Linked DNA regions of Elephas maximus indicus. The protein of the gene in region 1 interacts with the protein of each later gene in a pairwise test. Links are inferred from orthologs where the notes say so. Each region holds a gene or a part of one and is shown in the gene's direction. Other genes may lie near its edges. The genes, in order: AP2B1, AP1M2, NUP54 and NEU4.

Region 1 (7,010 bases):
GATCGGGGTGCCAACACGGGTCCGGTACGCGAAGACTGTGTCCAGTTTGGGCTGTAAAGTATCCCCGCCCGCGCCCGTCCTTGCTACCTGACCACAGGCGAGGCGCGAAGGACCCACAACGCCACGTTCGCGGGGAGGTCTCGGCTTTATGACAGAAGCGGTAACCGGAAATAGAAGGCTCCGCGGCCTCAGGGAAGTGGCAGGAGGAGAGGGGCTCTAGTCCGGAACGCGGCGCCGAAGCCGGAAGTAGAGAACTCTATGACCCTTCCGCTTCCGCCCCCGCTAAAATTAAAAATGTCTCCTATGGGATAGTTTTGGCGACGAATTCTCTGTTTGTTTTACTTTTTCTGAGTCTATACAGGTGAAAGCCACAGATCTGATCATCTCTTTTTGAAGTTTTTTTGAGGAGGTGTTTGCGGTGCTCCGAGCCCTGACGCCCCCGGACATAATTTGGGCTGGGTACTGAGTCCTGTGTTCCCAGGATCGATGGTGCTAGAGGCCGAGGGACAAAGAAATCGGGAGATGGGAGGGTTTTCTCGTGTGCCCAAGGCAGGAATTGGTGATCGTTAATTTTATTTGACCGCTTTCTGGAAAGGATTCGAAGTGACCCAGCAAGAGATAAGGAGGCCTGGTGGCGCAGCGGGGAAAGCGCTGGGTCGGCGGTTCGAATCCATCAGTCCCTACGCGGGAAAAAGTGTTTCCTTAAAGATTTACAACCTTGGAAACCCTTATAGAGAGCAACCAAAAACCAAACCCAGTGCCGTTGAGTCTTCCGACTCGGCGACACTATAGGTCAGAGTAGAACTACCCCATAGAAGAATTGCCCCATAGAGTTTCCAAGGAGCGCCTGGTGGATTCGAACTGCCAACCCTTTGGTTAGCAGCTGTAGCACTTAACCACTACGCCACCAGGGTTTCCTTATAGAGACCATATAGGACAAAATAGAACTACTTTTCCCTATATGGTCGCTATAAGTTGGAATCAAGTTAACCGCAGTGGGTTTGGTTTTGAGTAGCAGAAAATAGAAGCCTTTAGCTCTATTGCTGCCAATTAAAAAGATTAACCCATTGCGGGTCAATCGATTGGGACTCATAGTAACCCTATAGGACAGGATAGAACTGTCACATAGGATTTCCAAGGCTGTAAATCTTTATGGAAGCAGACTGCTGCGTCTTTCTACGCAGAGCAGCTGATGGGTTCCAACTGCCTTTTGGTTAGAAGCTGAGTGCTTAAGCACTTCGCCACCAGGGCTCATATATACGTATATATAATCTCCAACGCAGTGCCGTCGATTCCGACTCATAGCGACCCTATAGGACGGAGTGGAACTGCCCCATAGAGTTTCCAAGGAGCGCCTGGCGGATTCGAACTGCCGACCCTTTGGTTAGGAGCCGTAGCACTTAACCACTATGCCACCAGGGTTTCTCCTATATATATATACACACACATATATGTATACATATGACATGGTGGTGGTTGTTCCGTGCCAGTGAGTTAATTCTGACTCAGCACCCTATGTACAACACAGAGAAACACTGCCTGGTCCTGTGCCATCCTCACAGTTGTTGCTATGTTTGCGTCCACTGTTGTAGCCACTATGTCATTCCATCTCCTTGAGGGTCCTCCTCATTTTCACTGACCCTCTACTTTACCAAGCATGATGTCCTTCCCTAGGGACTGATCCCTCCTGATAACAAAAGACTATTAGTTGCTCAGAACTTTCATCCAGGCTGGTACCTTAACTGTCTTCCAGGTTTTGGTTACATTCAGCCATATGTTTTCCTTAACATCATCTCAAAGTATTTTCCCTTGTCATTAAATACAACCAAACCAGTTACCACTGAGTCAATTTTGCCTCATGGTGACCCCATGTGTTGCAGAGCAGAGCTTGAATCCATTGGGTTTTCAAGGCTGTGACCTTTTTGGAGCAGATCGCCAGTCCTTCTGAGGTGCCTCTGGGTGGATTCAAACCACCAATATCTAGTTAGTAGTAAAACACTTAACCATTTGAGCTACTCAGGGGACTCCATTATATAGTCTTCAAAAATATGATTTTAAAAAGTATTTTCCAATCATAGAAATAAATACATGTTCAGCGTAGAATGCTTCTAAAATTAGGAAGAAAATTAAAATTCTAACCATCCAGCAATAACCACTCAACATTCTGCTGAATATTTTTAGCCTTTTTAAAAAATACATATGCAATCACACTGTATATATTATTTGGTATCTTGTTTTTTTTTCTCTTGACATGATCGTGAATTTTCTTGTGACATAAAATATTCTACAACATTATGCAGCTATTTGATTTATCATAAATGTTTATGTTCCCTCTTGTGTTAAAATTAGGTTTCCAATTTTCACCTATTTCAATAATAAGGGCAATAATAATATACGACTATGTTTTACAAACCTTTTAGATACTTCTGATTACTTAAGAATGAAATTTTAAGATGCTTACACACTTTTCAGGTAGCGTAACAGTTAAGTGTTTGGCTGCCAACCAATAGGTAGGTGGTTTGAACCCACTCAGCTGCTCAGCTGGAGAAAGACCTGAGGATCTGCTCCCATAAAGATTGTTGTCATTGTTAGGTACCACAGAGTTGATTTTGACTTATAGCGACCCTGTGACAGAGTAGAATTGCTCATAGGATTTTCTGGACTGTAAAATCCTCACGACTGAACCAACTAGCAACAGCATGATAAATGGAGAAAATACTTCACCTGTCAAGGATTTCATTTTACTGAGATCCACAATCCACGCCCATGAAAGCAGCAGTCAAGAAATCAAAGACATAGTGTATTGGGCAAATCTGCTGCAAAAGACATCTTTAAGGTGTTAAAAAGCAAAGATGTCACTGTGAGGACTACGGTGTGCCTGACCCACACCAGGGTATTTTCAATTGCCTCATATGCATGTGGAAGCTAGACAGTGAGTATAGAAGACAGAAGAATTGATGCCTTTGAATTTGGTGTTGATGAAGAGTATTTAATATACCATGGACTGCCAGAAGAACAAACAAGTCTGTCTTGGAAGAACTACAGTCTGAGTGCTCCTTAGAAGACAGGATAGCAAAACTTCGTCGTACATACTTTGGACATGTTATCTGGAGGAACCAACCCCTGGAGAAGGACATCATGCTTGGTAAGGTAGAGAGTCAGCAAAAAAGAGGAAGACCCACAAGGGGATGGATTGACACAGTGGCTGCAACAATGGGCTCAAACAGCAATGATTGTGAGGATGGCACAGGACCGGACAGTGTTTCCTCCCGTTGTACAAGGGGTTGTTATGAGTCGAAATCAACTCCAGGGCACCTAACAACAACATATACTTTTCCACTCTCACAAATTTAATAGGTAAAAATGTGAGGGAAAAAGGATCCACTCCCACACCCATCCCTATTACTTACTCTGATTAACCTTGTTCTCTAGTTCTGGATCCTGGAATCTAGGCCTTTGTTTCTGAAAAGGTGAAAGGGAACTTACTTTTGTGAAAAGCACATGTATTACATGATAGGCGCTTTACCTACTTTATCTCATTTAAGGTTTACAACCCAGAGAAAAGAAAATTAAGACTGCGGTGAAGTTAAGTAACTTTCCCAGTCATCCTCAGGGCTGGAATTCGAACTCATGTCTAATGGCGACTCAATCTCTTCTTGCATCGCTCTCCTCTCGTCCCACTGCCTGTGTATAATCCTTGGCTGGACCCAACACGTGAATTTGCTGATTTTGTTTTGTTTTCAGAAAGGAACATGATATTTCACCTGCTCTATATGTAAACTTTTCAGAGAACTCCTGTGCGAGGAAATAAATCCAGAGAATGTCAGTTTGTTCAATATATCCCTTCAGATAGCCACTAAACAGCCTCCGGGTCCCAGGTCTCAAGACCTCTTCTAGACCAAGCAAATCATTCTGTCGCCAAGACGACAGAGGTCACAGCCTTTCTGATTCTCCGGCGCACGCCGATGACGTCTCGCGACTAGGTCCTCTTACGTCACGTTTCCTGTCCCCCATCTTTGTCCCTGGCAAAGTGGGTTTTGCGCAGTGGCTTAGACCTGCAGAAGGAATCGTGACGGGCAAGAAACCATTACACCACCACCGAGGCCGCGCTCTCTGGCTGCTGCCGCCTCCCCCGCCCTTGCCTCCGGTGAGTTCGAGCTGGCCGACTTTGGGGCGTGTCCCTCATTAAAGGGAGGGAGGAAAACCCCTGCCCGGGTCGGAGACGGAAGGGTCGAAATCCTAGAAACTTGATTGTTTGATTGTTGAGGGCGAGGGAGCCGTCGTGTGTGACCGTTGTGAGGAAGAGGGTTGGCGAAAGAGACTCCTCCGCGCTGGCTTGGTGAGGTGAGGGAATTGGCGGGCGTGGCCGCTGGCAGATGCGGGGTGCCGTGGCGACGTACGTTCTGTAGCTGCCTTGATGGCTAGTCCGGGAGTTAGGAGGGCCGAAGGCCAGGGGTGTGGCCGTTGGAGACGGGAGGCCGAGGGGAGAACCTTCCTTCTTCCCCGCCTGGCGTCCTTCCCGGAGAGGCTGAGACGTGTCCACTGAGCCCCAAGGAGGAGGATTCCCCCAAAGCTTTGCTTGTCGGTAAGGCCCGACTTTTTCGCCTCCCCTCCAGGATTTTTTTGAGAGTAAGACACTTCTCCCCGCCTTGCAATGGAGGAACCTATCCCTAGAGTCTTAACCACCTGGGGAAAGAAGAGGAATTCCTTACGCTTGGGAGGAAGAAAAAGAAACCTCCAGCAGTTTGACCAGCTGTGAGAGAGGAGGAAGCAAGTGGGGGTTAATCTTACAGCAGCATGGTTTTGGGTTTTTTTTCTTTTTCCTTTCTGGGCTTAGCAGGAATGATCTGGTTTAGGAATGTTGGTAGGTTAAGGTAGTAGTGAAGAAACTAGAACTTCCTGTTATTTCCACATTCTTTGAATCCAAAGAATTTATGCATGCTATTTGTTTACAGCAGTGGGTTTTTTGGTTATTTGTTTACAGGGTAATCTTATATCTTGGAGCAGGCTTTTGTTGAACTCACCTGGTTCCGTGCGGATGCTTCATTAAATTTTGACTTTAAAAAAAATTTTTTAAATGCAGAATACTGTTACCATAAATGTTATGATTTAAAAAAAAAAAAGACGTAGCAAGTTCAAAAAAGGCAGAATGACTGAGAAAGAAGGTGGTCTAAATTTAAATTATTATCTTGTGTTCTGCAATTGCTTAGCCTCGGGGTACACTTACAAAGTAATAATAGAAAGCAGTAGGTGAAGGAGATGCAGCTGTGTAAGAAAACGTGTAACACATTCCAGTGATGACTAAATGTGGTGGTAAGGTGAGTACTGTTTGTAGGTGTCTTAACAGTTGAAACTCCCAAGGAAGCAGAAAGGATAGTGTGTTCTGCAAACAGCCTCACTGAAAGTTAGGTGGTAAAATTAATATAAAGCTAACATTCTGACTGTGAATTAAGAGATTCATGTAAGCCCAGTTCTTCCATCTTTTTTTTTATTTTCTTAAATAGGTGTATATTTTTGCAATATCACATTTTAGGCACAGATTTGAACCAGGCCTGAACACGGAATGAATTGGGTAGGACCTAGTCTCCTTTCTTCTTTCACTCCAGACTTAAGTTTTCCAGAGTGTATTGGTATTTCAGTTAAGAAGTGGATGGATATAAAACTTTTGGGCTCATTTCTTACTGTATAATATTAACTAATTCGTGTTCTGTCACATTTGAATAGGAATCACAAACAATTTTGGCTTTTCAATGTCTGTTGTGATTTTTAGGAGCTATCTTTTTTATATGATACCTGAAGATGCTACCATCTTTGCATTATTAGTATTTGATTAGAAATGAACTTAGCACCTCTCACCTTTGTAATAAAAGGTTGCAGGAATGACCTTTCTGCTTTGTAATTTGGTTAACTCTTTAGCCAGTTTTTCCCTATGGAGCACTAAACTGTAAAGCCCAACTTCTGTGAAAAGCTTAGTGGCCTCCTCAGCACTAATTTAACTACCATTTCCCAGAGAGCCATTTGAAATTAAGATCCTATTAATTTTTTTCTGGCCTTATTCTACTGAGGCTATTAATCTTATTTTGTTGCTCATTTTTTCTTTTAGAGGACTGGAGGGAAATAGGTGGGGAGGTTTTTTTCACAACCTATATTTGGTAGAAACTGGGTTATGTTAAATCTAAATATATAGTCCTGTGCAGGGAGGCCCTCTCTGAAATGTGGTGACATCACACTCTGGGCTAGGACAGGTAAGATTGAATGTGTGCCCTGACTGTGGCAGCTTTGTTGTTTAACAGTACCCCTAGGCCATACCGGGAGCCCTGGGAATAGTCAAGTGTCAGATTGGTCAGTTAGGAAAGTAGTGTGAGTTGGAGCTCCAGGGTGGCTTTGCTTATTCCTGGGGCTCTCCTGAAAGAACCCCAGGAGGAGCTTGATTTTTTTTTTTTTAATTTTTATAGTGCTTTAAGTGAAAGTTTACAAATCAGGTTAGCCTCTCATACAAAAATTTATACACACCTTGCTCTATATTCCTAATTGCTCTCCCCCTGATGAGACAGCACACTCATTCCCTCCACTCTTTTCATGTCCATTCGGCTAGCTTCTGACCCCCTCCACCTTTCCATCTCCCCTCCAGACAGGAGATGCCAACATAGTCCTTTGTGTCTACTTGATCCAAGAAACTCACTCTTCACCAGTATCATTTTCTATCCTATTGTCCAGCCCAATCCCTGTCTGAAGAGTTGGCTTTGGGAACGGTTCCTGTCTTGGGCTCACAGAAGGTCTGGGGACCATGACCACCGGGTCCTTCTAGTCTCAGTCAGACCATTAAGTCTGGTCTTTTTACAAGAATTTGGGGTCTGCATCCCACTGCTCTCCTGCTCCCTCAGGGGTTCTCTGTCAGAGCAGTCATTGGTTATAGCCTGGCACCATCTAGTTCTTCTGGTCTCAGGCTGATGTAGCCTCTGGTTTATGTGGCCCTTTCTCTCTTTTTGGGCTCATAACTCCATTGTGTC
Region 2 (6,901 bases), on another chromosome or scaffold:
TTAACTTTATATAAGTATGGTATCACACAGCTGTGATGGGGGGAGCAGCGGGCACTGGGAAAGCACAGAGGAAGAACGTGATGGAGACACGGAGTGTAAGACAGAGAGGGCTTCCCAAAGGAGAAGGCCTGAGAGCTGAATGAGAATAGAACCAAGTGGTAAGAGCAAAGAGGGGCAGGCGTTCTGCAGAGAGGGCTCAGGTGCCGGAGGAAAGAGAAAGGCAAAGAGGGGAACTGAAATTATGGAAGTCAGTTGTCTGGGGCAGCGGTTCAGGGTGCCCTGCGGCAGAGGTCAACTGGGGGCAATGTCTGAGGGCAATGGGGAGCCACGGGGGATGTGAGAGTGGGTGAGACCATAGTAGTTGTATTTCAGAGGTTCCTTTAGTGACATAAAAAAGGGATTGAAAGGGGTTCCTAGTGGCAGGGTAGCTGAAAGAAGCCTGGTGCAGGCTGCAAGTGTCTAGAAGCTGGGATGGGCGTGGTTGCCACCAAATAGGCCAGGCTGGGCAGGGCCAGCCAGACAGAGCTGCTCTGTTCTCTGACCCCACTGCAGCTTTTGGGTTCATGAATTTTTCAGCCAAACAGGCATTGAGTTTCAGATTCCAGTGCACTAGGCCCTGGCTTTTGAGTTCTATTTACTACCTGAAAACATCTCACTAAGGGCCCTAGGAGGGGAATCCTTGTGAGGCTCCGGGGTGCCTGAGTTGGAGTGAGAGCCTGTATCGCCCCAGACCACCTCCTGAGCAGGGAGTGGGTAAGAGCATGGAAGGCCCTCCCTCCTTTGGGCAGAGGCAGTATGAATTCCTGGGCTTTGCAGGGCTCGAATCCCAGTTTGGTCACTACTAGCTGGGTGATCTTGTGCAAGTCACTCACCTTCTCTGAGCCTCAGTTTCTCCATCTGTCATATGAACATAATAAACCAAAAAAAACCCACTGCTGTTGAGTCAATTCCAACTCATAGCAATCCTATAGGACAGAGTAGAACTGCCCCATAATGCTCCCAAGGAGTGGCTGGTAGATTTGAACTGCCAACCTTTTGGTTAGCAGCTGAGCTCTTAACCACTGTGCCACCAGGGCTCTGTGGAGATAATAGTGTTCCCTAAATTAAAGAGTTGTCTCAAGGATTCCCACACACCAGATATTTAGGGTAGTGCATATGCCTGCATATGTTGTTAGGTGCTGTCAAGTCGGTTCTGACTCATAGTGATCCAATGTACAATAGAATGAAACACTGCCAGGTCTTGCACCATCCTCACTATCATTGTTAAGTTTGAACCCATTGTTGCAACTATTGTGTCAATCCATCTTGTTGAAGGTCTTCCTCTTCTTCGCTGACCCTCTACTTTACCATACATGATGTCCTTCTCCAGGGACTGATCCCTCCTGATAATTTGTCTAAAGTATGTGAGACAAAGTTTCGCTATAATGAGCACTATATATTGGATACACTGTGGACTGCCAGAAGAATGAACAAATCAGTCTTAGAAGAAATACTACCAGAATGATCCTTAGAAGCAAGGACAGAGAGACTTTGGCTAGCTTACTTTGGACACAATTGTTAGAAAAGGAAATCATGGTTGGTAGAGAAACCAAACCTGTTGCCATTGAGGGTCAGCAAAATGAAGGAAATCCTCAGTGAGATGGACTGACAACAGCAGCAGGGACGGGCTCAAACACAATGATCATGAAGATGGCACAGGACTGGGCAACATTTCATTCTGTTATACACCAGATCACCAAGGGGCTCTCAAACCTGATGACTCAGGCAATGTGTGGTGGAGTCAGGATTCAAACCCCGCACTTGTTCTCTTAACCACCACAATCCTCATTGTTGTCATAATTATCATCATTATAGCTGTCATGATCAAGCATGTTCCATGCACCATGTTGCATATAATAACTCATGCTGTTGTGTGCATGATAACCCAACAAGAAAAGTGCAGTTATGAATCCTTTTCACAGATGTGAAGACTGAGACCTTGGGAGGGAGGCCAGGTACCAGAGGCCACACAGCTGGCCAGTTGCAGAGCCAGAACCTGAGCTCGGGCAGCTGGATCTGGAGTCCATGAGCTTCTCTGGTACACGTGTAACAATAAACAACAGCAAAACCAATACTAGTAACTGCTGTGTGCCCAACTCTGCACTGGGCTCAATCGCTTGGATCATCCCTGCTCATAAAGTTGTGGTGGAAATTCAGGGACACAGTGAAGGGCTGGCAATAATGTTGTCTTACAGTGTTACTATTTACAGGGCCTCGAAGACCTCTGTCAAATGTCAGCTCTGATCTTCCTGACTTATAGCCCCTATTCACTCTCTGTCAGCCCTGCCCCCTAGTACCCTTGTCTTCAAAGGTCTCATCCTCATCAGGAATCATCTTTTTTTTTTTTTTTTTTAATTGTGTGTCTCTCACCCTCCCTAGAACCGGGGTACCAGCCTTGTCTACATCACAATCCACAAGAGCACAGCGGGTGCTCAATAAATATTCATTAGCTGATTGGATCACCATCAACATGACCATCATCACCATAACGAAACCCCTTCCAGATGCCCAGTTTAGCACACAGTAGGTGGTCAGTAAGGATATGCTGGAATAATATTATGACATAATAATTACAGTCATAATAAAACAGGTTGCTGTCCTGTTGATTCTGACTCGTGGTGACTCCATCTGTTACAGAACTGCTCCAGAGGGTACTTTTGGCTGTAATCTCTTTTGAAGCAGGTTGACAGGGCTTTTTTCCATGGCTCCACTGAGTGGGTTCAAATCACCAACCTCTAGGTTAGCAGCCGAGTGCAAACCCTTTGTGCTACCCTGGGAGTTGTAGCCATAATAATAACTATCATTTATCCTTTCCATATTCTATCTACATCTTAGTGTCACATTTTTCTTGTGTGCCATTGAGTCGATTCTGACTTATAGCAATTCCATGTGACAGAGTAGAACTGCCACATGGAGTTTTCTAATCTTTATGGGAGCAGGTCACCAGGTCTTTTCTCCTTCGAAGCCGCTGGTGGGTTCTGACATTTCAGTTAGCAGCCTAGCTTAACCATTGCACCACCAGGGCTCTTTTAGTGTCACAAACCCATTAACCCATTGCCACTGAGTCAATCCCAACTTTCCAACTCATAGTGACACTGTAGGACAGAGTAGAACTGCCCCATAGGGGTTTAGGGTTTCCAAGGCTGTAATCTTTACAGAAGCAGACTGCCACATATTTTTCTCGTGGAGTGGCTGGTTTGTTTGAAGCATCTTTGGGTTAAAAGCCAAGTGCTTTAACCACGGCCTTACCAGGGCTTAATAAATAATTTTGAACAAATGGACAAGAGTTACGTTAGGAAAACACTAAAAGCAGCTACATTTGTCTTGCTCAGAATCCTTCCCAAGGTTCCAGTCACTGAGTGAAAGAATTTATTAGTGAGTAAATATTTGAGTGACAGAATAAACTAATTAGTAAATATTTATTGTATGAATGAATGAATTCAACAAATATTCAACACCTACAAAAATTTTTTTTTTTTTTTTTATACTGTGTACCTTTTTACCAGGTCTTTTACTGGGCGCAGAAGACACAGGCAGGAACAGGACAAAGCCCCGGCCCTATTGGGGCTTGTGTACTTATGGTAGAGACAGAGGAGAATGAATGAATGAATGGAGGGACCGACTGACAGACAGGCGGTCGGTTGGTCCGCTGTCTTTGCCCACCAGCACTCACAGGTGCAAAGAGAAAGTGAGCCGGGGCCTCTGTCTCAACCGAAGGACCGCCCCCTTCCAGCCCTCTCAATAGCTGTCGCGTCTGCCGACCGCGCCGCTCACCTGGCGGCGGCCTCCCCTTTAAGAGGGCTCACCTGGGCGCTCACCTGGGCGTGGGCGCTTCCGCAGGAAGAAGGAAGCGGTGCTGTCTTTACCTTCTGGCTCTCCCTCTTCGCCTCTCAGATCCACCGGCTGCCACTATGTCCGCCTCGGCCGTCTTCATCCTCGACGTCAAGGGCAAGGTGAGGCTAAGCGCAGGTGTAGGGGGCCAGACCGGTGAGGCTAAGCTCCCCCCAACCTAGGGGCGGCACATCCGCGCAAGCTAGCAAGACTCCAGAAAGCTCTTGGGGCGTGGAAACCTACGCCCCCCTCCACTCTAATTCCCGTGTGTCCGGGTTGAATTCTACCTCCACCATTTACTGGCCGTGTGCCTGGGACAACGGGCTTTGCCCCTCGGGTTCTTAATTTCTCCTGCCTTAAAAATGGGGGTAACTAAGGTCCCCACCCAGTCAGAACTCATAAAATTCAAAGTGTGTAAAGCGCTTAGCACATTAGCCCCGATGCAAACATTAGGCGTTCAATAAATTGAAGTTTATATTTCCATCACTGTCATCTTCCACAAAATTAATACCCGGGGAAGGCTGCAGAAGGCCCTAATTCCCCTTTAGAGCTGCTTTGTCCTTTCCTGAAGCTCCCTTATCCACCTTGTCATTCAGCAATAGCAGCAGTAACAATGGTGGTGTGAAAATAATACTGATAATATTAATAGTGAAAGCTATTTAGAGACTTGCTGTGTGCCCTCTCTGTTCTAACCACTTGACTCAACAGCCTAAGTACTATTATTATTGCTGGCTTACTGCTGGCAGGGCAGACAGACATGAACTCTAAGAGGTGCATGGATAGAATCTTCCCTCCCCTCCCCTCCCCTCCTCTCCCCTCCCTTTCCCCTTCCCCTCTCCGTTTTTCATAAGCCCTACCTTACCACTCTGGTGCATATGAAGCCCGGGGTGAGAGCAAGAATTCTGGAGCCAGGCCGCCTTGTTTCGATTCCCAGTTTCCCTGCTTACTATGGACATGGTTCCATAGACTCTTTCATAGCCTCAGCTTCCGCATCTATAAAATGGAGATGATGGCAACACCTCCATCACAGGGTTTGTGGTGAGAACTAAATAACGTGGTAGTTGTTGTGAGGTGCTGTCGAGATGGTTCTGACTCACAGTGACCCCATGTACAACAGAATGAAACACTGCCCAGACCTGCACCATCCTCACAGTTGTTGCTATGTTTGAGCCTATTGTTTGCAGCCACTATGTCAATTCATCTCATGGGGGGTCTTCCTCTGTTTTGCTGACCCTCTACTTTACCAAGCATGATGTCCTTCTCCAGGGACTGGTCCCTCCTGATAACATGTTCAAAGTATGTGAAGGAGCACTCTGGCTGTACTTCTTCCAAGACAGATATTTGTTCGTTCTTCTGGCTTGTTGTTAGGTGCTGTCCAGTCGGTTCCGTTTCATTCTATTGTGCATAGCAACCCTATGCACAATAGAATGAAACACTGCCCTGTCCTGAGCCATCCTTACAATCGTTGTTATGCCTGAGCTCATTGTTGCAGCCACTGTGTCAATCCACCTCATAGAGGGTCTTCCTCTGTTCCTCTGACCCTGTACTCTGCCAAGCATGATGTCCTTCTCCAGGGACTGATCCCTCCTGACAACATGTCCAAAGTATAGAAGATGCAGTCTCGCCATTCTTGCTTCTAAGGGGCATTCTGGTTGCATTTCTTCCAAGACAGATTTGTTCATTCTTTTGGCAGTCCATGGTATATTCAATATTCTTCACCAGCACCACAATTCAAAGGCGTCAATTCTTCTTCAGTCTTCCTTATTCATTGTCCAGCTTTCACATGCATATGATATGATTGAAAATACTATGGCTTGGGTCAGGTGCACCTTAGTCTTCAAGGTGACATCTTTGTTCTTCAACACTTTAAAAAGGTCTTTGCAGCAGGTTTACCCAATGCAACATGTCGTTTGATTTCTTGACTGCTGCTTGCATGGCTGTTGCTTGTGGATCCAAGTAAAAGGAAATCCTTGACAACTTCAATCTTTACTCCGTTTATCATGATGTTGCTCATTGGTCCAGTTGTGAGGATTTTTGTTTTCTTTATGTTGAGGTGTAATCCATACTGAAGGCTGTAGTCTCTGATCTTCATTAGTAAGTGCTTCAAGTCCTCTTCACTTTCAGCAAGCAAGGTTGTGTCATCTGCATATTGCAGGTTATTAATGAGTCTTACTCCAATCCTGATGCCCCGTTCTTCTTCATATAGTCCAGCTTCTTGGATTATTTGCCGAGCATACAGATTGGATAGGTATGGTGAAAGGATACAACCCTGACACACACCTTTCCTGACTTTAAACCACTCAGTATCCCCCTGTTCTGTCTGAACAACTGCCTCTTGATCTATGTACAGGTTCCTCATGAGCACAATTAAGTGATCTGGAATTCCCATTCTTGGCAAGATTATCCATAATTCGTTATGATCCACACAGTCGAATGCCTTTGCGTAGTCGATAAAACACAGGTAAACATCCTTCTGGTATTCTCTGATTTCAGCCAGGATCCATCTGACCCCACTTGTCTGTCAGTTTGTTGTACTGTGGGGGTTTGCACATTGCTGTGATGCTGGGAGCTATGCCACTGGTATTCAGATACCAGCAGGGTCACCCATGAAGGACAGGTTTTAGCTGAGCTTCCAGGCTAAGACTAGGAAGAAGGACCTGGCAGTCTACTTCTGAAAAGCATTAGCCAGTGAAAACCTTATAAATAGCTGCGGAAGATTGTCTGATAGATAGTTCTTCTGACAGCCCATGGTATATTCAATATTCTTCACCAACACCATAATTCAAAGACATCAATTCTTCAGTCTTCCTTATTTATTGTCCAGCTTTCTCACGCATACGAAGTGATTGAAAATATCATGGCTTGGGTCAGGCACACCGTAGTCCTCAAAGTGACATTTTTGCTTTACACTTTAAAAAGGTCTCTTGCAGCAGATTTGCCCAATTCAATACATCATTTGATTTCTTTTTCTTTTTTTAATAAACTTTAGTATTTAACCCAGTTTTAAGTTTACAGAAAAATTGTGCACAAA
Region 3 (7,408 bases), on another chromosome or scaffold:
CTCTGAGACATTCAGGAATTATTTTCTTCATTTATTGATTGTAGATTTGAATGTTTTGTCCTGAATTTTTGTTTTATTTGGTTATGTCTGTGCTGGCGGGCTGGGTGTGTTTTGTTGCTTGCTTGCCTGTGGGCACAATACTTCTCATCACCTTATCCAGGTGGGTAGGGCCAGTCATTCAGCTATGGTGCAGCAGGGCATGTCCAGCCAGGTGGAGGGGCGGGGATGGGTAGTTTGCAGCATGAACTGGGGGTGACGGGAAGAGGTTGGAGGGCAGCTGTCTTAGTTATCTAGTGCTGCTATAACAAAAATACCACAAGTGAATGGTTTTAACAAAGCAAAATTTATTCTCTCACAGTCTAGTAGGTTACAAGTCCAAATTCAGGGTGTCAGCTTCAGGGGAAGGCTTTCTCTCTCTGTCGGCTCTGGAGGAAGATTCCTTGTCATCAATCTTGCCCTGGCTGAGGAGGTTCTCAGGTGCAGGGACCCCAGGTCCAAAGGATACACTCTGCTCCTAGTACTGCTTTCTTGGTGGTATGAGGTCCTCAACTCTCTGCTTGCTTCCCTTTCCTTTTATCTCTTGAGAGATAAAAGCTAGTGCAGGCCACACCCCAGGGAAACTCCCATTACATTGGATCAGGGAGGTGACCTGAGTAAGGGTGGTAGTATTACAATCCCACCCTAATCCTCTAACATAAAATTACAATCACAAAATGGAGGACAACCACACAATACTGGGAATCATGGACTAACCAAGCTGACACATATTTTTGGGGGGACATGACAGCAGTGCAGGGCAGGGTCTGGGAGACTGAGTCATTACTGCTCAGGGGCATGGCATTCAGCACACAGTGCAAATAGGCAGGAGGGAAAGGAGAGGATGTGATGTGCAGAGCTAAGTGGGTGGGTAAAAGAAGAGAAAGAAGAGAGAGAAACAAAGATAAAAAACAAGCAAAAAAATTAAGTTAAAAAAAATTAAATGGCAGTTCAGTAGGATTCGGTGGGTGGGGGTGAGGCTGACCTGGTGAGGCCATGTACTGGTGGCTCTCTAGCCAAGCAGTGTGGCTTGGCCTGTTAAGAAGAGGTGTGGGTGGCGCATGGGGCTAGGTGGGTGGAAAAAGGAAAGAGGGGAAAGAAAGATAAGAAACCAGCAAACAAATAAAATAAATAAATAATAAAAACAACAGCAACCAAAAAATGTGGTGGTGGGGGCAGTGGCCATTGGGGATAGGGCGGAATTGGGGTGGCTGCAAGCTGATCTCTCTCTTGCCAGGTGGCACGGCACGGCCTTTCAGGAAGGGACATAGGCAACGCAGGGCCTAGGTTGGAGGGAGGAGGAAAAGGAGAAGAGGAAAGATAAAGAAAAATAAAAAATATGATGCTGAGGGAGCTGGCCTGTTGGAGCAGCACAGATGTGGGAATGCTGTGTGCCAGAGGCTCTCCAACCAAGTGGTACAGCACAGCCCACCAAGAAGTTGAAGGTAGTGCACAGGGCTGGGTGGATGGGAGAAAAGAAGGGAAGGGAGAGAGAAGAAAGAATAACAAAAAAGAAAAAGAAAACAAACAAAACGATAAATAAAATTCTGCTTAGGGAGCCAGTTGGTGACAGCAGCGCAGACTTGGGGAGGCCATGCACAGTTACTCTCCAACTGAGCTGTGTAGCACGGCCCCTCCAGAAGAGGCTTGGGTGGTGCCCAGGACTGGGTGGGTGGGAAAAAAAGAAAGGAAGGAAAGGAGGGAGAGAAGAAACAGAAGAAAAGAAAAGAAAAGAAAAAAAAAACAAAGCAGACAAACCACAGCCCATCAAGAAGGGGAGGGGATGGCACACAGGGCTAGCTGGGCAGGAGAAAGGAAAGGAAGGAAGGGAGGGAGAAAAGCAATTAAAAAAAAAGCCCCCACAAACAATATTAAAAACAAATAAATAACAAAAAAGCCCCCCCCAAAATAAAAAAACAAAAATACAAACCAAAAAACAAACAAATGAACAACAAAAAAAATGGCACTGAAGGGGCCGGCTGGTGGGGGCAGGACGGACCCCAGCAGCAGTGTGCTAGTGTCTCTCCTGCCGAGAAACCATGGCCCGATGGAAAGCACTGAATGCCACACTGGGAAGGATGGAGAGTGGGAAAGCGTGTATCCCTGGTTATTGGGTGCTCTGTCTCCTGCTGGGAGCTCCATGGAGTTACTTTCCCATACTCCTGTCTGAGTCCTTTGGCAGCTATATCCCAAGATGGTCAATCACGCCACATTAGCTGGTATGGGACCTCCACTCCGTAGCTCTTGCTATTCTGTTCTCTCTCAGTTTTTTATTCCATATGGTGCTTGATCGAGTTCTTTATTCCTTCATTTTGTACTTAGGGGCTCCAAGATTGACATTTGTATCTGCTTTACTTAGTTTTTCAGGTCTTTGCTGCAGAGGGATGCATGGTGCTTCTGTCTATAGCATTCTGTTGGTTCCACCTCCTTTCACTAAGCAACTCTAAACCTCGGTCCTCTCATTTTACCTGCAAAATGTGGTTAATAACAGAGCTTCCTTACGGGGTTATTAGCAGGATTAAATGTTACCGCAAATAAAATTTGAAGGCACGGATTTTAGCATTTAGAAAGCTCATTGTCTCATCTGGGGGACATTCTCCCCATTTCTGAACCCTAGAAGGTGGGCCTTGTCTGCTGTGCTCAGACTTGCGAATTATCTGCACACTGGTCTTTGAGAAAGTAACTTTATTGCAATGTGCAGAGCAAGGCGCCAAGAGGAAGTTCCTTAGATCCAGCTCCCCAAGCTACGGAGAAGCAGGGCTTATATGTGATTTGGGCAGCAAGATGGTAGCTGCACGGGCGTACTAGAGAGGGAAAATTCTAGAAGGTGGCCATGAAACAGGTGATGTGACTCTTGTCGGACCTCTGGCTTCAGAATAGGGTCCAGGCGATGATTTTCCTCATGTTGCTGCATCCTCTACTGAAGTTATGTGGTCACAGCTGGTCCTTCTGGTCATGTGGGGAAGACCAAATCTGGCTTGCATTAGTTTAAGGACTAATAGAAATTTACTAGCATTCACAGGGGCAGGTTATATACCCTTCACTGTTCAGTGCTCATGGTACAGCTTGTTGATTAACATCACGGACTGGATTCAGCGTGTCCCTTTGTGGCTGTTTCCTCTTCCATAAAATGGGGGTGATAATAGTAATTTACTTCACAGGGTAATTGAGGAGTAAACTAAAAAGATGTAAAATGATTAGAAGAGTGTCTGGCACATAGGAAACACAAGATAAGTGTTTGTTAATGTCGGGGGATGGCCCCAGCAAGGAAAGACCCTCACTGTGCATCCTGGCAGATAATCTGAAGAACTGACACATAGCCCTTTCCAGATTCATATGTTCAGGGAAACTTACTCACACAGGCAAGCAGCTGCTCTCTCCAGTGGCGCCTGGATGGAATATTTTCTGCAACCACCTAGCAAGGGACCCAAGCTTATATACCATTCCAGCTGGGACAAAGTCTCATCGTTTTCTACCACGTCCTTGTGCAGTCAGTGCTCCCAGGGACTTAGCGTCCAGGCCCAGATGTTTTCCTTCTTGTTGCTAAGGCATTCTTCGGCCTTGGCCGCTGGCCCAGTCATGCCACTCCTGGCCTTTTACCTTAGTCCAGGTCCATCCCGAATTCATCCCCAGCATGCTTCAGGGAAGAGCAAAGCTGACTCCATTAGGGAGGGGATGCATATCGCTGAATAGCATTACCCTACAGTTAATATTACTGTTATCTTTTGTTCTTCCTACATGTCACCTCTTTCCTACTTCTACTTCGCCCACTCATTTTTCAGGACTGGGTTCAAATAGCATTTCTCGGGGTTGGGGGGACCTCCTAAACCCCAACCTGGGTCCTCCTAGGACTGCTCTTCGAAAAGGCTACATCTTCAACGATAACACCAAGGCATGTATATTCAAGGTGTCTACTGCCTACCTCTACAATAATGACTTCAGGCCCTGCACACCTTTCCAAGATAAGTCCTTAAGGCACATCTGAAGGGCTCTCAGGCAGCATTCCCTCTCAAGCTTCCTAGCGTATTACCTTTGTTGTGACTACCCGCGCCCCGCAATGACACAAAACGCTCAGGAAGCAAGCTGGACTCACGGAGTTTCCTCTTCACCCTCTACGCAGGTCCTTGGCACGTTCCCACCTTCTACGCTGGTGGTGTAGTGGTTAAGAGCCACAGCTACTAACCAAAAGGTCCTCAGTTTGAATCCACCAGGTGCTCCTTGGAAACCCTGTGGGGCAGCTCTACTCTGTCCTCTAGCGTCACTATGTGTCGGAATTGACTCAAGGGCAGCGAGTTTGGTTTTAGGTTTAGGCTGGGCCAAAAAGGAAGCGGAACTGGGTTATCGGGGCCGCAGTTTCCCTGCCGGACGGAAAAGCCAAGCACACGGAGCGTCCCAGGAGCGGCGCCTTGGTCCACTGCTTCCGCGACATGGCCTTCAACTTTGGGGCTCCCTCGGGCACGTCTGGCACCGCTGCAGCCCCCGCGGCCCCCTCGGGTGAGTGATCCTCCCAGACCTTCCGTCCGGGAGAAGGGTCGGCCTCTGGGCCTTCCTGTGCCCTCTAAGTCCGCCGGTCCCCGGCCTGGAGACTCTGGGATCTCCGGCCGGCGCGGAGACTTTATGGACATCGGAAGAGGGCGGGCGGCGGCGGCGGAGCGGGCCAGGAAGGCTCCAGAGGAGGGCTCGGGGGCCAGAGGCTCAACCCAGAGCTCGCGCGCCACGCGTGGGCCCCGCCGGGCCCTGTCTTCCCGGGGTTGGTTTCCCGCCGCCGGGGAAACGGCCTCGCGGACACTCGAGGGGCTCGCTTACCCCCTTGCCCGGGACACGCCTTCTCCTCCCGCCTCAGCCCAGGCGCCTGGCGGGAGGATAGGGCCTGGGGAGACCAAGGCGCTGCCCCGCAGCTCGCTCCGTCCGCGCCCTGCAGGGGCGGGACCCTTCCTCCTGGCCCCGTGGACCCTGGTTACTGGCTCCTCCTTTCACCTGTTCCTACCTATTCTGCTTTCTTGTTTGGAGAAAGTCAGGTTTGTCTGTAAAACTTCTTGCTGATTCTTCTAATCCTTATCTTGCTTTCTTTTCTTTTTCTCTCCTCTCCCCCTTTTTTAATTTAATTTTTTGTTTCTTTGCCTACACGCCTATCAGGATTTGGTGGGCTTGAGACTGCCAACTCCACCGCCAGTGGGTTTAATTTTGGGGGTTTCGGATTAACTGCTAATCCTGCAGTGAACTTTAATATTGGGAATTTCGGTGTTTCCACAACCTCGGCAACTCCGTTCAATTTTGGTAACAGTCTGGCGAGTGCAGGTAGATACTGCGGGCCGTATGTGTAATGAGTGTTGGAAGCCGGAGTCCAAGAATAATATTTCGGGATTCCTAGAGTGTGAGAAAGAATAGTGAGTTGTCTAATAAGGAAAGGAAATTCATTTCCCAATGTTGAATTAAAAACATTCGTTTCAGGTTTTGACTGTCCTAAAAGATGTGGTTCTCGGAAGTCTTGCAAATCATAATGTTCCCTTGCTAAATTTGCATTTAATTGAACAAAATACAGCTTCCAAATGATAAGACTTTGGAATGGGATATTATTTTGAATAGAATATATCTTCCAGATTATTAGCTTTCCCTTCCAAAAATGTAACCTCACTGATCAGGCCCATTTTCTTGGGGTTCTTGGACTCCTGCACTCATTTTTCATTTTCCCTACATCTTTCATTGAGATTTTATTTGATCGTCCTTGTGTTTCCCAAGAGAAACAAGTCTTATACGAACAGCAGTAACTCTCTTGTTTTTTAACTGGTAAATAATGTATTTCTTTGGTCAACTCAGCAGATTAGGGTACATGATTTCTATAAAATACACAATTGTAGAAAGAACCCCAATTCTTTACTGGTTTTTTGGGAAATGACCTGAGAGAGCAATTTTCTTTATTGTCAGACAGCATCGATTTCTAAAAGGTAGGATAGACATTTTTGCATTCTGTCATAGTTTTGAAGATTTTGGTATTTAAATGAATTATTCGAAGCTAGTTAAAAATTTTGCAAAACACTGACTGTAATGGATATATATATATAAATTTAGAATAGGCTTATGTGTACTTTACATAAAATGACCCTATAGAAAAATCTTCTTTTTCAGCTGCTCGTATATGAATTTAGTGTCTGTATCTGTTACATTATGCCGCTTAGGCCCGTGCCAATTATATGCATCTGGTAAGCATTATTTATTCCCTAAAACTTATTTGGGAAGTCTGGTATTTTGAGCATTTACTTATTACTGCACTGTAAATATCACCTTAGCATCTGAAAACAGTTTGAAGAATATTTGAAAATTCTAAAGATAAAAGAATCCATTATCTAAGATATATTTGACATCATTACATGTTATTGTCTTGGTATGTTTACTTTTCTTTGTTTGCTTAAAATTGGCACTGGGTAACACATTATTTTGTTTCCAAATAAAGCCACCCAGCTCATAATTCAGCAATAATAAACGTGTTTGTATTTGTTTGATTTCATTGTTTATTTAGTGTTATCACTGTTAAGTTTTGAGTTCTGATAATGTAACTGTTTTAACTACATTTATGTTAGTTAACGTAGCCTTCAGCAAAGGGCTGATAGAAATTCTTGTTTGCTTTTTTTATTTTGTATCATTGCAGAGTCATTGTTACTAATAAATATTCTTGGTATTGTGGAGCATGATAAGATATTGACTAGTTTTTTTTGTGGAGCCAATTCAGAGTATATCGTAGTTATTAAATGGGTGTGAGGAGTAATGAAAAAGACTAAGATCAGTGTTTAGTACTTTAGGTGATTTTTATTAAAATATTTACAGTTTGCTGTACTGCAGTAGAACCTACAAGTAAAGAGAGTGTTTGGCTATGCTTGCATACAATATAGGTGTTCCTGGGTGGCACGAATGGTTAAGCACTGGACTGTTAGCAGAAAGGTTAGCAGTTCAAACCCACACAGAGGCACCTCAGAAGTAAGTCCTGGCAATCTGCTTCCAAAAGGCTGCAGCCTTGGAAACCCTATGGAACAGTTGTACCCTGCACACATGGGGTTGCTATGAGTTGGAATTGACTCGACAGCAACTGACAACAACTGCAGCATACAACATGCAGTTTACTTTTGATTAATTTTACACATCAGAATTATATGATCTACTATCAAAGAGATTTATGTTACTGTATTGATACATCTTTGTCCTGCGTACCAGAAATATATGCAATTCAAGTTAACCAAAAACCAAACCCATTGCCGTTGAGTTGATTTCGACTCATAGAGACCCTATAGGGCAGAGTAGAACTGTCCTGTAGGGTTTCCAAAGAGTGGCTGGTGGATTTCAACTGCCGACTTTGGTTACCAAGTTCTTAACCACGGCG
Region 4 (7,943 bases), on another chromosome or scaffold:
CGCTTCCCTGTGGGGACAGGGAAAGGGAGGGGGGCCCCCTCCCTCAGTCTGGTTGTGTTGGCCGAGAGTGCTAACTGTCCTTGGGGTCCCCTCCCTCTCCTCTAACAGGAGATCCTGGGGGTTTTACTGGACAAACTGCCACCCCCCCCGCCAGGAGGCCGGCTGGCCCTGGCCGTGGGTGTAATCACTGTCCAAGTCCTTCCCTAGAAAGTGGGTCCATCCTTCTTCCCTCTCCCCTCCCTGGGCTGGGGCTCGGGGTGGCCACAGAGAGAAGGACGGACGAGACGATGCCCAGAGACAAGGATGGGTTGCACAGAGCCTGGTCCTGAGCTGCCGCCCCTTCTGGGCTCTTTGCTGGGTGGCAGTGTGCCTGTCCCGCTGGCGTCGCTGGGATTTAGGGTTCTTCTCGGGCTACTTCATCTCCCCTCAATGAGCACAGAGGGCTGAGACACCTCAAGGCAGGGGTGCAGTCAGGGGCTCACGGGTGCCCCTCACAGGGCAGCTTCTGCAGCAAGCTCCCAGAAAGGGAGTCCACCTCCCACCCCAGCTCTCCTGTGGGGCCTTTCAGCTTGGGGGCCAGGAGGCACTGGTTTCCAATAAAATATGTTCAAGCATGAATTTCAGACACCTTCGTTTTCTTTAGTCTGACTGGGGGAGGCAGGAGGGGCGGCCGTGAAACACTCTTCTGGGATATTTGAGTGTCGAAGCCAGCGCTGACCCTTGGTCTCCAGGTGGAATCCACCACCAGGACTGGAGGCCCCTTGGCCCTGGAGCTCCCAGCCACGCCAAGCCCACACACCACAGCAGGCTGTTCCCAGGTGCAGGGGACTCCATGGCTCTGCCCGAACTTTCTTAGAATTTCTTAGAACAGCCTACATTTCCAATACCCCCGCCAACTCCTCTCTGTGGGGAGGAGGTCAGCCCTCCACCTGCCCCTCCTCAGTACCCCAGTGAGCTAATCCCACAAGGTCTCCCAGGGCCTGAGCTGACAAATGGATTTACATCTCAGTGTCCACATTTGCTGTGAAATCACACGATTTCTTACTGTTCCAGAGCTTGTTTTCCATTTGAAGCCCCGTGTTTAGGACTGGAGGAGAATGCCCTTCATTTCATTGCATTCACTCCCTGCCCCGCTCCCAGCACAGAAATCCTCTGGCTCACACCTATGGTCCTACCCCTTCCAACTGATCGGTTACTCTGGGAGCAGGTTTGAGGTTCATGTATTTTTAAGGAATTGTTGGAAATTAGTTCTTAAGTCATGATTTGCCTGCAACACTCTGCTTTGAAGGAGCGTTTTGGTCCATCCCGTTGTCTTGATTCCCAAACCACGTTCGGGATCAGGACATGATGGATGGGCCAGCACCCCCGCCTTCACCAGGCACGCCTGCTAGGAGCAGTTTATGGACCCAGTGGGTGGACCGTGGCCTTGCTCTGAGCGCTGGCTGAAAGTGGGGGCTTGCTTTGTTCACAAATAATCGCAACCACAGGAAAGAAGCTACAGCCACCATGATGGATTGACTTGTGTCCCCCAAAAGATAAGCTGAAGTTGAAACCTCTCTTTGAATGTGACCTTGTTTGGAAATAAGGTCTTCGAGGGTGTCATCTGTTAACATAAGGCCACACTGGAGGAGGATTGATCCTAATCCCATCCAGTTGGTGCCCTTAAAAAGAGAAGACGCAGAGAGACAGAGGGAAGAGGGTCAGGTGAAGAGGGAGGCCAGACTGGAGTGAAGCATCTGTAAGCCAAGGAACCACCAGACGCTGGAGGCTAGGAAGGGTCTGCTGACACCCGAATCTGGACTTGTGGCCTCAGAGCTGTGACAGTGTACATCCCTGTTCTCTTTAAGCCCCAGAGTGTGGTGCTTTACTACAGCAGTCCTGACACCATCCAGGTGCCCTGGGCAGGAGGGGCCATGGGAAAGAACCCTCCCCATGCGCTGGGCGTGCAGGGCGGGGGGATGGGGCTGCGGGCATCTGCTGTGTCCACAGGTGCAGACGGGGCCTCCCGAGGAGTCACACCCAGCACTGTGGCTTCGCCTTCCTACTTGATGGAGTGGGCTGTCGACCACATTTCTGTCCCAGCAGAGAGCAAACTGAACGTCTCAGCATACACAAGGCACTGGCTGACTTCACAAGCTTCGTTTGCTCTAGTCGTTTCTGCGTGAACTTGGGCGTTTTGTTTTCATTTAAAGATTCGAAGTGTACATTCGGTGGCATTAGTTATTTTTGCTGTGTTGTGCAGCCATTGCCCCAACAGAAGCTCTGCCCTCCGGCACTGACTCCTCAGGCAGCAGGACTTTCCGTCACTCACCTCCTTCCTGGCTGTTAGCGTGTCCCCTACACGAGGTCACGGTGAATGGCCCGTCGCCCTTCACCCCACAGGCCATCCCTGAGGCTATCGAGGCTGGCAGCTGTCCGGTCCCCCAGAGGCACCCGGGGCGGAACATCCCCACCTGTCTGGGGTCTGCGTGTCCATTCTACATAAGCGCCTCCTGGCTCCTTGCAGGTGAGGTCGTCCAACCTGCCACCTGTCTGGTGGGGGAGGTGGCTCAGTCCCCAAATGAAGGTACAGACCGCCTTTCCTTCTCACAGGAACCTCTGTGCTCAATCAGCTGACCTTGAAAGACTTCCCACTTGCGGCCAGCAGAGCACAAATGGGCAGGCTGTGGGGGCTTCTCGGCTGAAGAGGGGTAGGGGCGGGGGTGTCCACACAGCAGGCACGGATGGGAGGCAAAGTCTACGTGGTCCACTCTGGCTCTCATGCGAGGGCGTCTCTGGGTGGAATTGGGACAGCTGACATGGTGCTCCTGCCAAGGTCAACGGTGGCCCTCCCCACAGCACAACACTTGTTGGGGAGCCCCCCCAAATCCCTGGGCTGCCACTGGGCCACCTGTTCCTGACACGCCCCCCTGTCCCTTCTGGACTCCTGCCCCTGGCCCCCTCTACGATACTGAAGCTGCAGACCCACCAGGAAGGCCTTGACGCAGCCCTGGATGTGGCCAGCTGCCGGCTCGACACCCAGACAGTGGGGCCTTGTCCGCTCTGCCCGGGGGGCTGGCCAGGCAGATATTTCCCGCAGATAAACCACCTCTGGCTCTGTAGCAGCTGCACAGCCAGGAAGCCCTTCCCTGGTCTCCCTGCATCGGGCCTGGGGGCCAGGGCAGTGAGGCCGGTGAGTACCCCTCTCCTCACCCCGCATCAGGCCTGGGGGCCAGGGCAGTGAGGCCGGTGAGTACCCCCCTCCTCACCCCTGCACCTGAGCCTGGGGGCCAGGGCAGCTGAGTCCCCTCCCTACTCCCCCCTGTACCTGAGGTCCTGCAGTAAACTGAGCCGTCCAAGCCCTGGAAGATCCAATACAAGACGCGCTGGCCGCGGAGTCTGGGGGCTGGGGCTGGCCCAGAGTATCCAGAGGAGCCCAGGCAGGATGGCGGGGAGGGGGGAAGGAGCTGCAGAATGACTCCAGCTGCCCAGCCAAGGGTCGGGCGCCAGGACAGCATGGGTCTCTTCCTTTCTCCTAGAACATCCATACCAGGGAAGCCACCCCATTCCTGCAGAGGGCCTGCCTGGGAAGGTGAATGGGCATTTGGCCATAGACGCCTGGGTCACTTTGCAAAGAGTCACAGTTCTGGTCACGCAAAGCCTGGAACTCTGCTTCTTTTAAAGTGAGGTGGCAGAGCCAGGGAAGGTTCCCCTGGGCCTCCGGAGCTCCATGGAAAACCGTGGCCTCAGCAAGGATGCTCTGAGTGCCTGCAGCCCTGTTCTCATGGTGGGCCTCAGTTTCCCCCCGTACAGTGAAAGGCTGACCAGCTGGTCTGTCTCTGAGCCTGTGGTGGCCTGGCTCCCTGCCTGCTTCTGCAGGCTGCGCTGATACCCGGCTCGAGGCAGGCAGGTGGCCCAGCTCTGGGGAGGGAGCCAAGCATGCAGAGAAGGTCCCACTTGTGCCCAGGCAGCCCCAGGCGACGTGTGGCATCTGCACCTGTGTCCAGCTTGGACACAATTGCCCTTTGACTGCAGAGCCCAGGGCTTCCAGGAGACAAGATACTGCTCTCAGAGCCCCAGAGGTGGTGGTGGTGGGCAGGAGTCTCCAGCCAGGGTGAATCTGGGTCATGCTGGGGGGTCTGCTGGGGCTTGGTGGGAAGCAGGGATGGACCTGTGAGCTGCCTTCCAGGGGCAGGAGGTCCTAGACTAAGAGTGGAATGAGGTGGAGGTCTTGTCTGGCTTGGGGACCTCAGGTGTGGGGCTCCCTCGGGTGCGGGGTGGTGGATCTCCTGTGTGTCGTTGTCAATGTGGGGTGTGTGCAGCTTTGATCCTTGCCAAGGAGTGGTGGGGAATACCGTTCATCCCCCCTCCCCACTCATGTCTCCATCCCCACACATCACAGCACCCCCTGGCCCCGACTACCCTCCAGATCCTCCTTGTGGCCGGAGGTGCCTTCTTCTAGTGAGAGCTGTGTGTCCCTGTGTGCACATGTGTCTGTGTGCTCATTTCTGTGCCAGCATGTGCACACGTGTGTGTCTCTGTGTCTGTGTGCATGTGTGTCCGTGTCTCTCTGTGTGTCAAGCATCTCTTTCCATGCGCCATGTGTGTTCCTCTGTGTGTCAGTTCTGAGTGTTTCTCTCTTTCTGTGGGTGCCTCTGGTGTCTTGTGGGTCTGTTTGTCCACTGCGGCTGCCATGCTGGTGGTGGGGCCTTAGGAGGGGTCACTGAGCCCCTCCTTGTCTGGAGCTCTGGGCTCTCATGTCCACTTGGGCCATCTCCTGCTGGGCAGGTTCTATGATGACCCTAACACCGCCTTGAGAGGAGGAGAGAGCCAATCCCACAGACACTCGGGGACTCAGTGGCTGTGGGTGAGGGAGGGAGGAAGGATGCTGGGTAGGCACAGGGTGGAGGGCTGGCCCCCCTCCCCACTGACTGAGCCCATTCTGCAGAGATGGGAGCCCCACATATTCCTGCACGCTCGGTGCTCTTCCAGCGGGAAAGGACCGGCTTGACGTACCGTGTGCCTGCGCTGCTCCCCGTGCCCTCTGGGCCCACCTTGCTGGCCTTTGCTGAGCAGCGACTCAGCCCCGATGACTCTCATGCCCACCGCCTGGTGCTTCGGAGGGGGACACTGGCTGGGGGATCTGTCCAGGTGAGGGGGTTGGGGGCTCTGTGCAGGTGGAGGGAGATGCTGGGGGCTTTGTGAAGCACTGAGGGAGTTGCTGGGAGGCTCTGTGCAGGTGAAGGGGGTGAGGGGGTCTGTGCAGGTGAGGGGGACACTGACGGGGGGTCCTGTGCAGGTGAGGAAGGCTGGGGGGCTCTGTGCAGGTGGATGGGGATGCTGGGGAGATCTGTGCAAGTGGAGGGAGATGCTGGGGGCTTCGTGAAGGTGAGGGGGGCTGGGGGCTTCATGCAGGTGAGGGGGATGCTGGGGAGCTCTGCACAGGTGAGGGGGCCTGGGGGGCTCTGTGCAGGTGGGGGGATGCTGGGGACCTCTGTGCAGGTGAGGGGACCCTGGGGAGCTCTGTGCAGGTGAGGGAGATGCTGGGGGACTCTGTGCAGGTGAGGGAGGTCTGGGGTCTCCGTGCAGGTGAAGGGGTGCTGAAGGGCTTGGTACAGGTGAGGGGGAATCTGTGAAGATCAGGAGCGGTTCCATGCAGGTAAGGAGGGTTTCTGCACGTGAGGGGCTCCAGGAAGTTGAGGGAGGATGCTAGGGGGACTCCTTGTAGGTGAGGGAGGTTATAGGCTCAGTGCAGGTGGTATCCCATCTTAGAGAAAGACGCAAAAGGGTCTGAGGCTGTGGCAGTGTCCACTGGGCAGACCCAGGTCTGAGTCTGGCCGTGGCCACCTCTGCAGTGGGGCAGCCTACATGTGCTGGGGACGGCGGCGCTGGAAGAGCACCGTTCCATGAACCCCTGCCCTGTGCATGAGGCACGCACGGGGACTGTCTTCCTCTTCTTCATTGCGGTGCTCGGCCACACGCCTGAGGCTGTGCAGATTGCCACTGGCCGCAATGCCGCCCGCCTCTGCTGCGTGACCAGCCGCGACGCGGGCCTCACCTGGGGTGGTGCCCGGGACCTCACCGAGGAGGCCGTGGGCAGCGATGAGCAGGGTAGGCTGGTGGGTTGGGAGCAGGGAGGGCAAGGGGGGAGGATGGTGGGCGCAGAAGGCAGGACAGGCAGGGCGGGGGTGGGGGGATGGGTGTGGGGGACTGGCAACTAGAGGCCAGCAGCCTCCACTGGAAAAAGCGGGCCTGCCCCTCCCTGAGGACGTGAGCCCAGCTGCCCACATCCCTGAGGTCTCAGCCCCACCTTCTTCATCTGACCCTCGCCATCTCTCCCCTTCCTGGGCTCATTTCTTTGCCCAGGAGAGGGTAGATGCTGAGGTCCCTCTTGGCTTCCAAATAACAGCTTCTGTCCTGCCTCCTCACCATGTCCTCTTCCTCCTCCCCCTCCTTGTCCCTGTTTTGAGGGCCCAGGCACGAATCACAGGGCAGGTGGCCAACCCCAAAGCCGGGCTTTCCTTCCATTCCTGCTGACCCCCAGCCTGACCACCCACTGCCTTCCTGGACTTGGGTGCCTCATCGAGGGGCGTGGACATGACACACCAAAGCCAACCCAAAAAGTGAATGCCCACTTGTGTGGACCCTCCCAGGGGACACAGCCAGTGCTGGCTGTCTCCAGACCCTGTCCTGAGGGCTGACCTGAGGGCTGTCCCCAGATCCCACCCCGAAGGTCCCCTCACTTCCACCACCCTCCCTTGCTGCCTTGTCTGCCATAGCAACTGGGCAGTGCCCCCGCATGGCCATCTGTCCACTTGCTCTGGGGGCTGGCGGCTTTTCCAGAACTCTGGCTAAGGGGGCTGCCTGGGATCCTGCTGAGATGGGGGCTTCTGGCAGATGTCTTTTTAATGGCCTCGAGTGCTGTGTCCAGCCTGTGAGGAAAGAACAGTGAGGGCCCAGGGCAGCGGATGAGCCAAGGGAAGCAGTGGTCAGTGGGCGGCTGTTCGCTGAGGCCCCGCACACGCCGTCCTGGCTGGCGTGGCCAGGGCTCCAGCCTCAGTTGGCCCTCTCTGTCCCCCTAGACTGGGCCACGTTCGCTGTGGGTCCTGGCCATGGGGTACAGCTGCGCTCGGGCCGCCTGCTGGTGCCAGCCTATACCTACCACGTGGACCGCCGTGAATGCTTTGGCCGCATCTGCCGGACCTCCCCCCATGCCTTCGTCTTCTACAGTGACGACCTCGGCCAAAGCTGGCGCCATGGGGGCCTCGTGCCCAACCTTCGCTCAGGCGAGTGCCAGCTAGCGGCTGTGGAGGGTGGCCCGGGTGGCCCTGTGCTTTACTGCAATGCGCGGAGTTCCCTGGGCAGCCGTGTGCAGGCGCTCAGCGCTGATGAGGGCACTTCCTTCCTGCCTGGGCAGCTGGTGCCCCCACTAGCCGAGACCTCCCGTGGCTGCCAGGGCAGCGTGGTGGGCTTTCCAGCCCCCTTCCCCAGCTGGCTTTGGGCAGGCACCCAGCTGGTGGGTGCCAAGAGCCACCCCCAACCTCCAAGCTCTGGTCCCAGAGTCCAAGGGTCCCTGAAAGAGGGTGACGAAGACCTCTGTGGGGCAGTAGTGGTCTGTGGGGATGGCCCTGGGGAGCTTGGCCCAGGGCCTGGGCTTGGCGGGGATAGTGCAGCCTCTGAGGCCCCTACTCCGAGCCCCACGTGGCTGCTCTATTCCCACCCAACGGGGCGCCGGGCTCGCCTTCACATGGGTGTCCGCCTAAGCAGGGCTCCCCTGGACCTGCACAGCTGGACAGAGCCCTGGGTGATTCATGAGGGGCCCAGCGGCTATTCTGACCTGGCTGCTCTCCCAGGCCGGCACATGGGGGGCCTGGCCTTTGCCTGCCTCTACGAGAGTGGGGTGCGGGTCTCTTATGAGGAGATTTCCTTCTGCCTATTCTCCCTGCGTGACGTGTTGGACAACA

Evidence for each region.
Region 2: the proteins of AP2B1 (region 1) and AP1M2 interact in binary tests that used the Homo sapiens proteins (3 or more experiments, as listed by UniProt). The two-hybrid records come from large-scale screens. The link is inferred for Elephas maximus indicus from reciprocal best matches to the Homo sapiens genes AP2B1 and AP1M2.
Region 3: the proteins of AP2B1 (region 1) and NUP54 interact in binary tests that used the Homo sapiens proteins (3 or more experiments, as listed by UniProt). The two-hybrid records come from large-scale screens. The link is inferred for Elephas maximus indicus from reciprocal best matches to the Homo sapiens genes AP2B1 and NUP54.
Region 4: the proteins of AP2B1 (region 1) and NEU4 interact in binary tests that used the Homo sapiens proteins (3 or more experiments, as listed by UniProt). The two-hybrid records come from large-scale screens. The link is inferred for Elephas maximus indicus from reciprocal best matches to the Homo sapiens genes AP2B1 and NEU4.

Annotation. Positions count from the first base shown.
Region 1 is NC_064837.1:30,139,940-30,146,949, forward strand, and holds the start of AP2B1 (AP-2 complex subunit beta), read left to right. Parts: upstream 1-4,005; 5' UTR 4,006-4,147; intron 4,148-4,163; exon of another isoform or gene 4,164-4,344; intron 4,345-4,362; exon of another isoform or gene 4,363-4,585; intron 4,586-7,010. UniProt on the Homo sapiens protein: Component of the adaptor protein complex 2 (AP-2). Adaptor protein complexes function in protein transport via transport vesicles in different membrane traffic pathways.
Region 2 is NC_064821.1:28,633,411-28,640,311, reverse strand, and holds the start of AP1M2 (AP-1 complex subunit mu-2), read left to right. Parts: upstream 1-3,882; 5' UTR 3,883-3,950; coding exon 3,951-3,992; intron 3,993-6,901. UniProt on the Homo sapiens protein: Subunit of clathrin-associated adaptor protein complex 1 that plays a role in protein sorting in the trans-Golgi network (TGN) and endosomes.
Region 3 is NC_064823.1:81,130,087-81,137,494, forward strand, and holds the start of NUP54 (nucleoporin p54), read left to right. Parts: upstream 1-4,401; 5' UTR 4,402-4,463; coding exon 4,464-4,530; intron 4,531-7,408. UniProt on the Homo sapiens protein: Component of the nuclear pore complex, a complex required for the trafficking across the nuclear membrane.
Region 4 is NC_064824.1:143,630,473-143,638,415, forward strand, and holds the start of NEU4 (sialidase-4), read left to right. Parts: upstream 1-4,929; coding exon 4,930-5,130; intron 5,131-5,834; coding exon 5,835-6,090; intron 6,091-7,061; coding exon 7,062-7,943. UniProt on the Homo sapiens protein: Exo-alpha-sialidase that catalyzes the hydrolytic cleavage of the terminal sialic acid (N-acetylneuraminic acid, Neu5Ac) of a glycan moiety in the catabolism of glycolipids, glycoproteins and oligosacharides.